Linked DNA regions of Macaca mulatta. The protein of the gene in region 1 purifies or fractionates together with the protein of each later gene. This does not show direct contact. Links are inferred from orthologs where the notes say so. Each region holds a gene or a part of one and is shown on either strand. Other genes may lie near its edges.

Region 1 (4,076 bases):
TTCTATAGATTAATGCATTCTTGTTTCCCCTGCCAGGTTCCATTGGCCTGGTTACCTTTTGCCCAGGTATCAGGAGATGAGGGGATGGCGAGAGGCTCAGAATCCAAACTTGACAGAGTAGGTGTCCACCACTAGGTGACGGTGGGATCAGGCATCTCCTTAGGCTGTCTGTGCTTCTGCTTTCTTTTCAGTGGAGATGCCTGCTTTCTTGGAAACACATGTGATGGTGGGCTAGCAGTAGAAGCACTACTGTAATAACAATGTGATCTTTGTCATTTCACTTCTTCGGACCTCATTAGTCCTACATATAAAAAGAGGAAGTTAAACTAGCTCAAATGTACTGAGCAGAAGGAATGGAGACTCTGCAGATGAGGAAGCAGGGCCTGAAAAATACGTGTGGGTTGTGTCGCCACACACCGGGACTCCTGGGATCCTGACCTCTTTTAGGGGTCAAAAGAGGGCAAACTAGTTGCCTAACAATATTTAGAGCTATTTCTCTCTTTTCACTCTCATTCTACGAGTGTACACGGGAGTTTCTAGAAATTACATGGTATGTGAAGTTATCCCTCTAATGATAACCTCTAATGAGGTTATTACTGTGATTTTTAATGAATACATTTAAAAATATGTTTTAATTTCTTAAAAAGAAACATTAATCTCTATGTACGTGTGTATACATATACAGGAAATGTATGAATATTCATTATACATGAATGTACATATATTCATTGTATATATGTATATATATTCATACATATGTGTGTGTGTATATATATATTTATACATTTCCTACATAAATAAAAGCTCTTTAAGGGACTAATAATTTTTAAGTGAAAAGGAGTCCTGAGACCAAAAAGTCTGAGAATCACTGAGCCAGATTTCTAGATCTTTAAGATCATTAATTCACTCAAGAAATAATTGTGCCTCTTGTGGCCAGGCATTTTGTAGATACCGAGGACAATGTGGTGATAAGAACATATTCCCTGCTCTGATAGAGTTTTACACTTGGGAGGGAAAAGACAAACAAGTAAATTAACAAGATTATTTCTGAGAGCAGTAGTTTTAATGAAGCCATAAAGCAGGACACACATTCCAGCACAATCTGTGCGCCTGCTCAGACGTAACACCCCGCAGCGCGGCAGGCGGATTCGGCAGCGTAGCCCCGAGAAGCCCCAAGCCCGCTCGGTCGCCCCAGGAGGGCGGGGGCGGGGCCTGCCTGCCCCCCCGCCGCTGGCGTCCGGTGACGTCACTGGGCCGCGCCAGCCAATCGTGGGTGGCCGGGGTCTGGGCACCACGGTGGCCTGCGGCCTGCGGGCGGCGCTGTGGCCCGTCGGGCGGCCCGGCAGAGCCGCCCTAGCCTCCCGCCTACCCCAAGCCAACGTCTCCGCCGTCGGCTCCGCGGCGCCGCCATGGCCGACGTGGAAGACGGAGAGGAAACCTGCGCCCTGGCGTCTCACTCCGGGAGCTCAGGCTCCAAGTCGGGAGGCGACAAGATGTTCTCCCTCAAGAAGTGGAACGCGGTGGCCATGTGGAGCTGGGACGTTGAGTGCGATACGTGCGCCATCTGCAGGGTCCAGGTGATGGGTAAGCGCTGCACGCAAGGCCGGGGCCGCGCTGCGGCCTCCGGGAGCCGACTTCGGGATTGGGACTGGACGGGCGCCCGCCAGAAGCCTTGGAAAGTCCCCTGCCTTGGGGAGTGGGTGGAGGTCGCCCTGCCCGGGCGCCGGAGGAACGCGGAGCCACGATCCTGTTGCGGCTCCTGAGGGCTGAGGGGTTGTGCAACAGGCGCCCGGCGCCGGGTGGTTGGTGTTCTAGGGAGAGAAATGGGCAATAAACGGAGGTAAACAAGGTAATTTCAGGTAGTGATGGGTGTGACCAGGAAAATAAAACCGGGTGATTGTTGGGAACTAGCAGGAAACACTTCGGTTTGTGTGGCCAGCCCCTGTTCTAAAAGCTCATCGCAAGGTGGACAGAGTAAAGGCCGTGATTCAGCAGTGAACTTTAATAGTCTTGGTCACCATCAAAGTGATGCTCCGGAGTCATCTTCCACAAAACGACACCCTTAGTTCTCCTCGAGGTACACAGGAAAGTGTTCACAGCCATTGCATTTCCGGATTAGCTTACCGCCGCTCTTCGAATGGCTTTTAAATCTGGATTGATCTAAGACGGGTCAGATAGCACTAGCGTGGCTTGAAGGGGACAGTGTGATTCAAGAATATCTAAGTTTCATGGAAGCCGAAGAATTGTAAGCCCTTTTTTCAGAAATGTAGAACTTCACCTCCATTACACCCCCCTCTCCATATCGGATGTCATTTCCTGGAGAAGATACTGCCCTGCTCTGAGTCATGCCTTTGTGGAGAACCCTCTTACAAATATGTCCTCTTTCTGTGATATTTGGAGTTAAAATATTAGACCAAGCAAAATGTTTCAGAACAGCTTACTCTTGTTATATTTTATATGGTTCTAAGATCTCAGACCACTTTGAAAAGCAAGTGCTGTTTAAATGCAAGTTGTATTTTCAGATAGGGCATTTAAAATTACTGTGAGAGCATCTTCAGTGGAGTTCTTTATTGAGGGTAGTTAAAGAAAACAGACATTTCTGTAGTTTGAAAACTGACTTGTCTTGAAAAATGAGAGAATTGGAGAACATAAAGAGAATTGCTGTCCTTGAGGGGGGATGAGACTTTAAACCTACCAGAATCAAGAGATTTCTCAATTTATGCTCTTTTGTCTTTTATTCTAAGGGCTTGTTTCAAAGAGGATTTACAACAATTGGATTCAGATATTTTTACCTTTTACTTTTGAAAGACCTTGTTATTAGACATGACCCACTTATTTTATATGGATCACTTGAGCCCAAGAGTTTGAGACCTGCCTAGGCAACATCGCAAGACCCTATCTCTACAATTAAAAATTAAAATAAAGTGACCAGGCATGGTGGCCTCCAGCTACTCAGGAGGCTGAGGTGGGAGGATCCCTTGAGCCCAGGAGGTCGAGGCTACAGTGAGCCTTTTTCCTGCCACTGCCACGATACTCTAGCTTGGGTGACAGAATGAGACCCTGTCTCAAAAACAAACAAACAAAACATATTAGGCTTTAAAAGTATCTAGTTTATTTGCCAGCAGTACAGCTGCCCCTACCCTCACTTAGGAATCATAGTTTCCAGTTTGGGAAGCATTTTTTAACTGATCCAAGAGACTTTTTTTTTTTTTTTTTTTTTTTTTTTGCAATACAAGTTTTGCTAAACATTTTATCTCCTAAATAAATTCCTTTAGTTTAAAGGAAACTAAACTTTCACTTAGTTCCTTTTCAGTTTAAAAATAATGTTCCCAAAGGGTATTTTCAAAAGATTTCTCTCCCAAAAAGCTATTTCCTCCCCGAAGGAAAAACATTTAAGCAGTAAGTGGAAATGTATAACCTGAAATAATGATTGAAACTTTGCAACAAATAAACTTTACTGAGATATTTTAATGTAGGTCAAAGTATAGGCTATAAATGACACATTTCATCATAAACTTTCTAATTATAGCAAGTATTCTGCTACTACAGGATCAGTCTTGCATATTTGCAAACAGCTGTACTTTGGGTTCAGGAAAGTATTCTAGGCTAGACCTTTGTATTTTGTTTATGAGGTGTTAAAACCCACTTAGAGGTCAGGTGACAGCAGAAGGAAACTTTTTTTCCAGACTTCCTAGTCTTTACCCTAGCACCCTTCTAAAAGGTGTTATTGTACTCCTTAGAAATGTGCTGTTTTAGATTCTAGGAAGATCATTAAAGCAAATTTTTATCTTTTATCTGCAACTTTAGGAATTTGTGTAGATTTGGGTCAGTTTTGATAATCTACATTAGAGCTATAAGCGTAATTTAGAGATTCCTAGATTCAGCAACAAGAACCCACTTTGTTCCCTTTCCTTAGTATTTGGAATTTATCTCACACTTGTGATTTATTATACTTTCTGCTCCCAAGATTTGCCCGTCAGCCCATTCTGATATGGATAACACTCTCATCTTCGTTTCCACTATCCTCCCTTCATTCAGAAAAGAGTGATGATTGCATAGTGAGCAAAGTGCTGATG
Region 2 (2,398 bases), on another chromosome or scaffold:
AGGGTTCACCGATGGACTGGCCGAGAGGACACTTGCTTCCACAGCTGCACGTCCCCCGGCTGCCAGGACCCCTCATCTGCCTGCCCAGGAAGCTTCCACAGGCTGATGGCTCCAGGGGAGGGAGGGGAGGCAGCATTTATGACACCATGGAAGGCACCCACCCTCCTGCTGCAGTCCTTGCCGGGTGAGGGCAGAGGTGGGGGGCAGGGCTGCACCAGCTGTATGAAGGGCAGCGCCCATCTGCCCGTCCGCCAAGTACTAAGTATCCTTGGCCCTGCCCAGGAACCGAGACCCCTGCACCTGAGAGTCCCTGGGCCTGGGCTGGCCGTGCGTGTCGGTGACCCCTGGTGACCCCCAAGTCTCTGTTGCAGGGGATCCTTCTGGTGTATGACATCACCAACCGCTGGTCCTTTGACGGCATCGACCGCTGGATCAAGGAGATCGATGAGGTAGGCCTGGGTCCGGGGAGCCCTCCCGGGGAAGGCAGACTGGATGGAGGTGCCTGGGCCCCAGGTAGGCTCTGGATTCCCGCCTGCCACCCCTCCTGTGGCCCTGGCTCTGCACCCTGCACTGTCCCATGGCCTACACCTGGGCGTGCTGGTCACTGTGCACGCAACGGCCAGGCATGGAGCCCGGCAAGACCAGGAGCTACGGGGCCACCTGGAAGGGCCTACACTGTGGGGCCTGAGCCCTGGGCTCTGCCCACCTCGACCTCCCACGGCCCCCACCCCGTCATAGGCCAGACAGTGAGGGCGGGCCCTGCTGCGGCTGAGGGGTGGGTGGCGCCCTGCGTTTGTGCTTCTGCTGAGTTCTGTGCCCCCAGCACGCACCCGGAGTGCCCCGGATCTTGGTTGGAAACCGGCTGCACCTGGCCTTCAAGCGGCAGGTCCCGACGGAGCAGGCCCGCGCGTATGCAGAGAAGAACTGCATGACCTTCTTTGAGGTCAGCCCCCTGTGCAACTTCAATGTCATCGAGTCCTTCACGGAGCTGTCCCGCATCGTGCTCATGCGGCATGGCATGGAGAAGATCTGGAGGCCCAACCGAGGTGCGTGGGCGGGTGCCCGCCAGCCCTGTGGTCCCCAAACCCGGGCTGCCCTGATCACGTGGAGGCTGAGGGGGGCCGGGGGCCAGTGAGGAAGGTTCAGGCAGGTCCCTTGGCCATGTGCAGTAGGGGCTCAGCCGGCAGCAGGCCAGTGACTTGGTAAGAGTAGCCTCGGGGGAGAGGCAGCAGCACCGGGGGGCACAGGAGGAGCTGGTGACCTCCCTCAGGGTGCCGCCGTGGCAGCTGCACTCTGCCATTCCTGTGGGTCCCCGGCATTGCTGGTGTGGCAGTGTGTTCTCACTCCTTCCCTGGTTCTGGGGCTGGCATCCTGCTGTCGGGGGCACAGGAGCCATGCCTGCAGCTTCATGTTGTTTCATTTTCTCTTCCTGGGAGGCCACGTCCTTGATCAGAGGTCCCAGTGGAGCCCCCTCAGGAAGGTACTGTTGATTATCTGGTGCCTCCCGGCAGGGTTCACCACTGGACAGAGAGAGGGTGGCTGACGGTGTCACTGTCCTTCTTAAGAGGAAGCACGGGCCAGGCGCGGTGGCTCATGCCTATAATCCCAGCACTTTGGGAGGCCGTGGCAGGTGGATCACCTGAGGTCAGGAGTTCGAGACCAGCCTGGCCAACACGGTGAAGCCCCGTCTCTACTAAAAATACAAAAATTAACTGGGCGCAGTGGCGGGCGCCTGTAATCCCAGACACTCAGGAGGCTGAGGCAGGAGAATTGCTTGAACCCGGGAGGAGGAGGTTGCGGTGAGCGGAGATCGCGCCACTGCACTCGAGCCTGGGCAACACGGCAAGACTCCGTCTCAAAACAAAACAAAACAAAAAAAACCATAAAGCAAGCACAGGGAGCTGTGAAGAGCCTGGTTGTACCCCAGGTCAGCATAACCCAGCCCCCACCCGTATGGAGCTCCTCTCCCCAGCTCTGCAGACTGGAGCTGGTGACAGTCAAGCTAGATTGAGTCAAAACCCAACCAGAGATACAGCAGAGGCTCCAGAGCAGGTCGGCTCGAAGGGCCAGATCACGCAGCCCTCACGCTGGGAGCTGCAGCGTCCAGGCCAGGAGCTGGGCAGAGTGGCCTCGGGAAGCCCCACAGCAGCACTGCCCAGTGTGCCTGGCTTTAGGGAGCAAGGCAGGGGATGGCGTGGCAGTGGACACATCTGTGCTGGGCAGAGGAGTTTGGGCATCCAGGTCCTCCAGGATCCCAGTCCAGGGGACACCACTAGGAGTGTGGAGACCCTGCCGGGCTTCTCTTGGGCACCTCAGGTCTCCCTGCGCAGGGCCGGGCCTCCCCCACAGCCCCATGGTCTGACACCCCCTCTGCCCTGCAGTGTTCAGCCTGCAGGAC
Region 3 (3,500 bases), on another chromosome or scaffold:
GTACACAGGCGCATGTGCACACACAGGCATTCAGGCACGCCGCGTAAATGGGGCAAGGACGAGGCCCTGGATGAACTGTGGGGAGAGACCGCGAGCCTGGATTCTACGGCGACAGGGACTCTTGCGGCGAGGCGGCCTGCGGGGGCCCTTCCGGCCGCGTCCGCGAACTGGACCGACCCCCTAAGCCCCACCCGGCCCGGCACCGGAGGTCTCCCTGGTGGGCAGGTGTGGAGGCCCCACGCCGGGACCCAGCACGGCCCCACGCCCCGCCCGACTCGGTGCGTGCAGACCCGACGGCGTGGGAGCGAGTTCGCGGCGCTGACAGGCGCACGCGAGAGTGTAAACACTCGGCCCCACCCCCTACTCGCCCCCGCCCCGCCTCGCCATTGGCTGCGGGAGCAGAGTCCCCGCCTCCTGCTTGTTCTGGCTCCGCCCCTGCTCCGTCTCCGGGCCTCCATTGGCCGCGGCGACAGCGTCCTTCCAGGAGGGGCGGTTGGGCTTCAGCCCGGAGGCGGCGACGAGAGTAAGATGGACGGACAACCACACCAATGAAAATGCGCAGCCGCCCTAGCAACTGCGGTCCACCAATGGCGGGGCCGGGCGGGGCTGCGCGCTGTCAGCGCTGGGCGGCGGGGCGGGGCCGGCTGCAAGCAAGGACTCGGGGCCCGCGCGGCGCCTCTCGGGGCCCGGCCGCCGCCTCTGCGCGCAGCCCCGCAGGCCGGGCATGGGTTGGGGCGCCGGGCCGGCACGATGAGCGCGCTGGGCAGCCCGGTCCGGGCCTACGACTTCCTGCTCAAGTTCCTGCTGGTGGGCGACAGCGACGTGGGCAAGGGCGAGATCCTGGCGAGCCTGCAGGACGGCGCGGCCGAGTCCCCGTACGGCCACCCGGCGGGTGAGCGCGGGCGGAGGGCGCGCCTGGGTGCGGGCGTGGGTCCGGGGAGGGGCGCGGGGCTGGGAGGGGGTGCGGGTGGGAGTCCGGGTTCGGAGGCACGAGGCCGGGGAGGGGTCGGGAAGAGGCGGGGGCGCGGGCCCGGGGAGGGTGGGAGTCCGGGTCCGGGGGCGCGCGGCTGAGGAGGAGCGCGGTTCGCCTTTCTCCGCCCGGCCTGGCCCTCGTGCGGCGGCGTCCCTGTTACACCCGGCACCCCCGTTCCGCTCGAGGCCCCCGCGGCGCAGTCTCCATCCTTCTCCGCAGTCTGCGCGCAGCGGGAGCCCGCGGCTGGGCCGGTCGCTGTGCCCCTCCCGACCTGGGGCCGCCTCCGCGGGGACCCGGGGAGGACTCGGGTCCGCACGTGCGCGTTCGGCCGCGGGGGCGGGAGGGGCGGGAGGGGACGCGAGCTCCGGGGCGCCTGGGGCGGAGCGCGGCGAGCAGGCTCCCAGGTGCTGGGTCTGCGCGTGGATCGGAGGGGAGGGGAGACCAGGGTCCGGTCCCGAGGCCAGGGGTCCCGCGTGTCCGGGGGAGAGGAAGGAGCGCAGGTGACTCGCGTGCGGAAGAGGGGACCCCCCACGACAGCGGCCGGAGAGGGGGTTCCAGGGCGAGGGGAGGCCGCAGCGCACAGAGCTCCCAGGCAGACAGCCCGGGGATCCCCGAAGTTTGAGGCTTGAAAGCCGGCGCCCGGCGAGGGGGTGGACGGCTCCGGGGAAAGAAAGGCGGAGGCAGGAACCAGGAGAAGGGGGAATGCGCAGAGGCGGACACCTCGGCCGGGAGTGAGGAGCAGGCGGGGCCTTCACCCACCCGCGTCCCTGGAACCGCGCGGACGAGGCCGACCCTGCGGCTGTGGACGGAGCCCCGCTGTGCCCACCTGCCTGCCACGCCTCGGGGCTGAACCCACACTTCCAACAGAGACCCCCGCTCTGGGTCCTGGGCGGAGGAGGGGAGCCGAGGCTTGGAGATGGAGTCTTGGTGGGAAGGTCCTGTCAGCTCTGGGGCCTGGGAAGGGTCCTGCCAGAGACGAGCTTTGCCAGAGCGGGTGGGAGGAAGCGGGATCTGAGGCTGCAGAGTAGAGGGTGCAGGCCGTCTCCTACGGGCAGCTCCAGGCAGGCTGCATGAGGACCAAGGGAGGTGAGCGTGGCACGGCTGGAGGGGGTGGCCTGAGACTGTGGAGCGTGGGGTGAGACTCAGGTGCCCGGCCACGCCTCAGCTTAGGGAAGGGGGTGAAGAGTTTGGGGGAGCAGCTGAGATGGGCTTGGGCTCACGACCAACACCCGGAGGCTTCCTTAAACTGCAGCACGCCGGGGAGTCTCTCGCAGCCGACGGGTGCAGAGTGTGCTCCGTGGGGCAGGAGGGGAGTCTGCGTCTTTACCTGTCCCCACCCCACTCCCCGCTCAGCGGCAGGTCTCTAGGACCGTGGTGTCCAGTCACATGCCATGAGCCACGTGTGGCTGTGGAAGTGTCATTATAAGGAAACAAAACAAAAAGCTTCCATTAGTCACATTTCTAGATAGTTCGGATGTCGCTGTGGCAAAGTCTGGGGGCCAGCGCTGCCCTGGAGATTGAGCGCCTGGAGGACGGGGCTTTGTCTGCACGGTGCCCTCGGGGTCTGGGCTCAGTGAGGGATGAACCCTACCAGAGCTAGAGGAATAGAGCACCCGACAACGTGTAGCCCAGACGAATGTGGCCCTGTAAGAGCTGTGCGTGTTTTGGGGGAGCAGACGGTTGACGGTGTTGAGTTTGATTGAAGGTGAGTGCCATGGGGCATGCGTGAGGAGAGCCACGCACAGAATGTTTGTGAAACTTCCTTCTGGTTGGTTTGAACGACGGCTCAGGGATGCTTCTGCTGCATGACTTTTGGTTGCTACATGCTGAACTGAAGACGACCCAAAACAACGGACCAATGCTTTCTCCTAAATGCTTTCCCTTGACAGGGAGAGAGGGTTTAGGCTAAAAATACAACCTCCCACCGGGCCGGGTGCGGTGGCTCACACCTGTAATCCCAGCACTTTGGGAGGCCAAGGCGGGCGGATCACCTGAGGTCAGGAGTTTGAGACCAGCCTGACCAACATGGAGAAACCCCCGTCTATACTAAAAATACAAAATTAGCCGAGCATGGTGTCACATGCCTGTAATCCCAGCTACTCGGGAGGCTGAGGCAGGAGAATCGCTTGAACCTAGGAGGCAGAAGTTGCAGTGAGCCGAGATCGCACCATTGCACTCCAGCCTGGGCAACAGAGCGAAACTCTATCTAAAAAAAAAAAAAAAGACGCCTCCCACCAAAAGCTTTGTTGTCAACCTGGCCTGAGCTGCTGTAGAAAAAACTGCTATCGTGGGTGTACCCTTGCAGGTTTTTTATTTACCAAACATTTGTTTTAGGGTTAAGAAAAGTTACTCTGAAAAATAGTAAGAAGTTGAGATCATTATGATTTGTTTTTAATTTTTTCAGAGACAGGGTCTTCTCTGCTGCCTGGGCTGAAGGCAGTGGTGAGGATTGCAGATCACTGCAGCCTTGACCTCCCTGGGATCAAGCCATCCTCCTGTCTTGGCCTCCCTAAATGCTGGGATTATA

What was found. The genes of interacting proteins can lie anywhere in the genome.
Region 2: the proteins of RNF7 (region 1) and RAB40C purify together in Homo sapiens (co-immunoprecipitation; 4 studies listed by BioGRID and IntAct, with this or other methods). This does not show direct contact. The link is inferred for Macaca mulatta from reciprocal best matches to the Homo sapiens genes RNF7 and RAB40C.
Region 3: the proteins of RNF7 (region 1) and RAB40B purify together in Homo sapiens (affinity purification with mass spectrometry; 3 studies listed by BioGRID and IntAct, with this or other methods). This does not show direct contact. The link is inferred for Macaca mulatta from reciprocal best matches to the Homo sapiens genes RNF7 and RAB40B.

What each region holds. Positions count from the first base shown.
Region 1 is NC_133407.1:44,728,250-44,732,325, forward strand, and holds the start of RNF7 (RING-box protein 2), read left to right. Parts: upstream 1-1,276; 5' UTR 1,277-1,409; coding exon 1,410-1,584; intron 1,585-4,076. UniProt on the Homo sapiens protein: Catalytic component of multiple cullin-5-RING E3 ubiquitin-protein ligase complexes (ECS complexes), which mediate the ubiquitination and subsequent proteasomal degradation of target proteins.
Region 2 is NC_133425.1:1,839,365-1,841,762, forward strand, and holds part of RAB40C (ras-related protein Rab-40C), read left to right. Parts: intron 1-371; coding exon 372-449; intron 450-823; coding exon 824-1,046; intron 1,047-2,381; coding exon 2,382-2,398. UniProt on the Homo sapiens protein: RAB40C small GTPase acts as substrate-recognition component of the ECS(RAB40C) E3 ubiquitin ligase complex which mediates the ubiquitination and subsequent proteasomal degradation of target proteins.
Region 3 is NC_133421.1:92,410,318-92,413,817, reverse strand, and holds part of RAB40B (ras-related protein Rab-40B), read left to right. Parts: intron 1-648; exon of another isoform or gene 649-692; 5' UTR 693-750; coding exon 751-892; intron 893-3,500. UniProt on the Homo sapiens protein: RAB40B small GTPase acts as substrate-recognition components of the ECS(RAB40B) E3 ubiquitin ligase complex which mediates the ubiquitination of target proteins.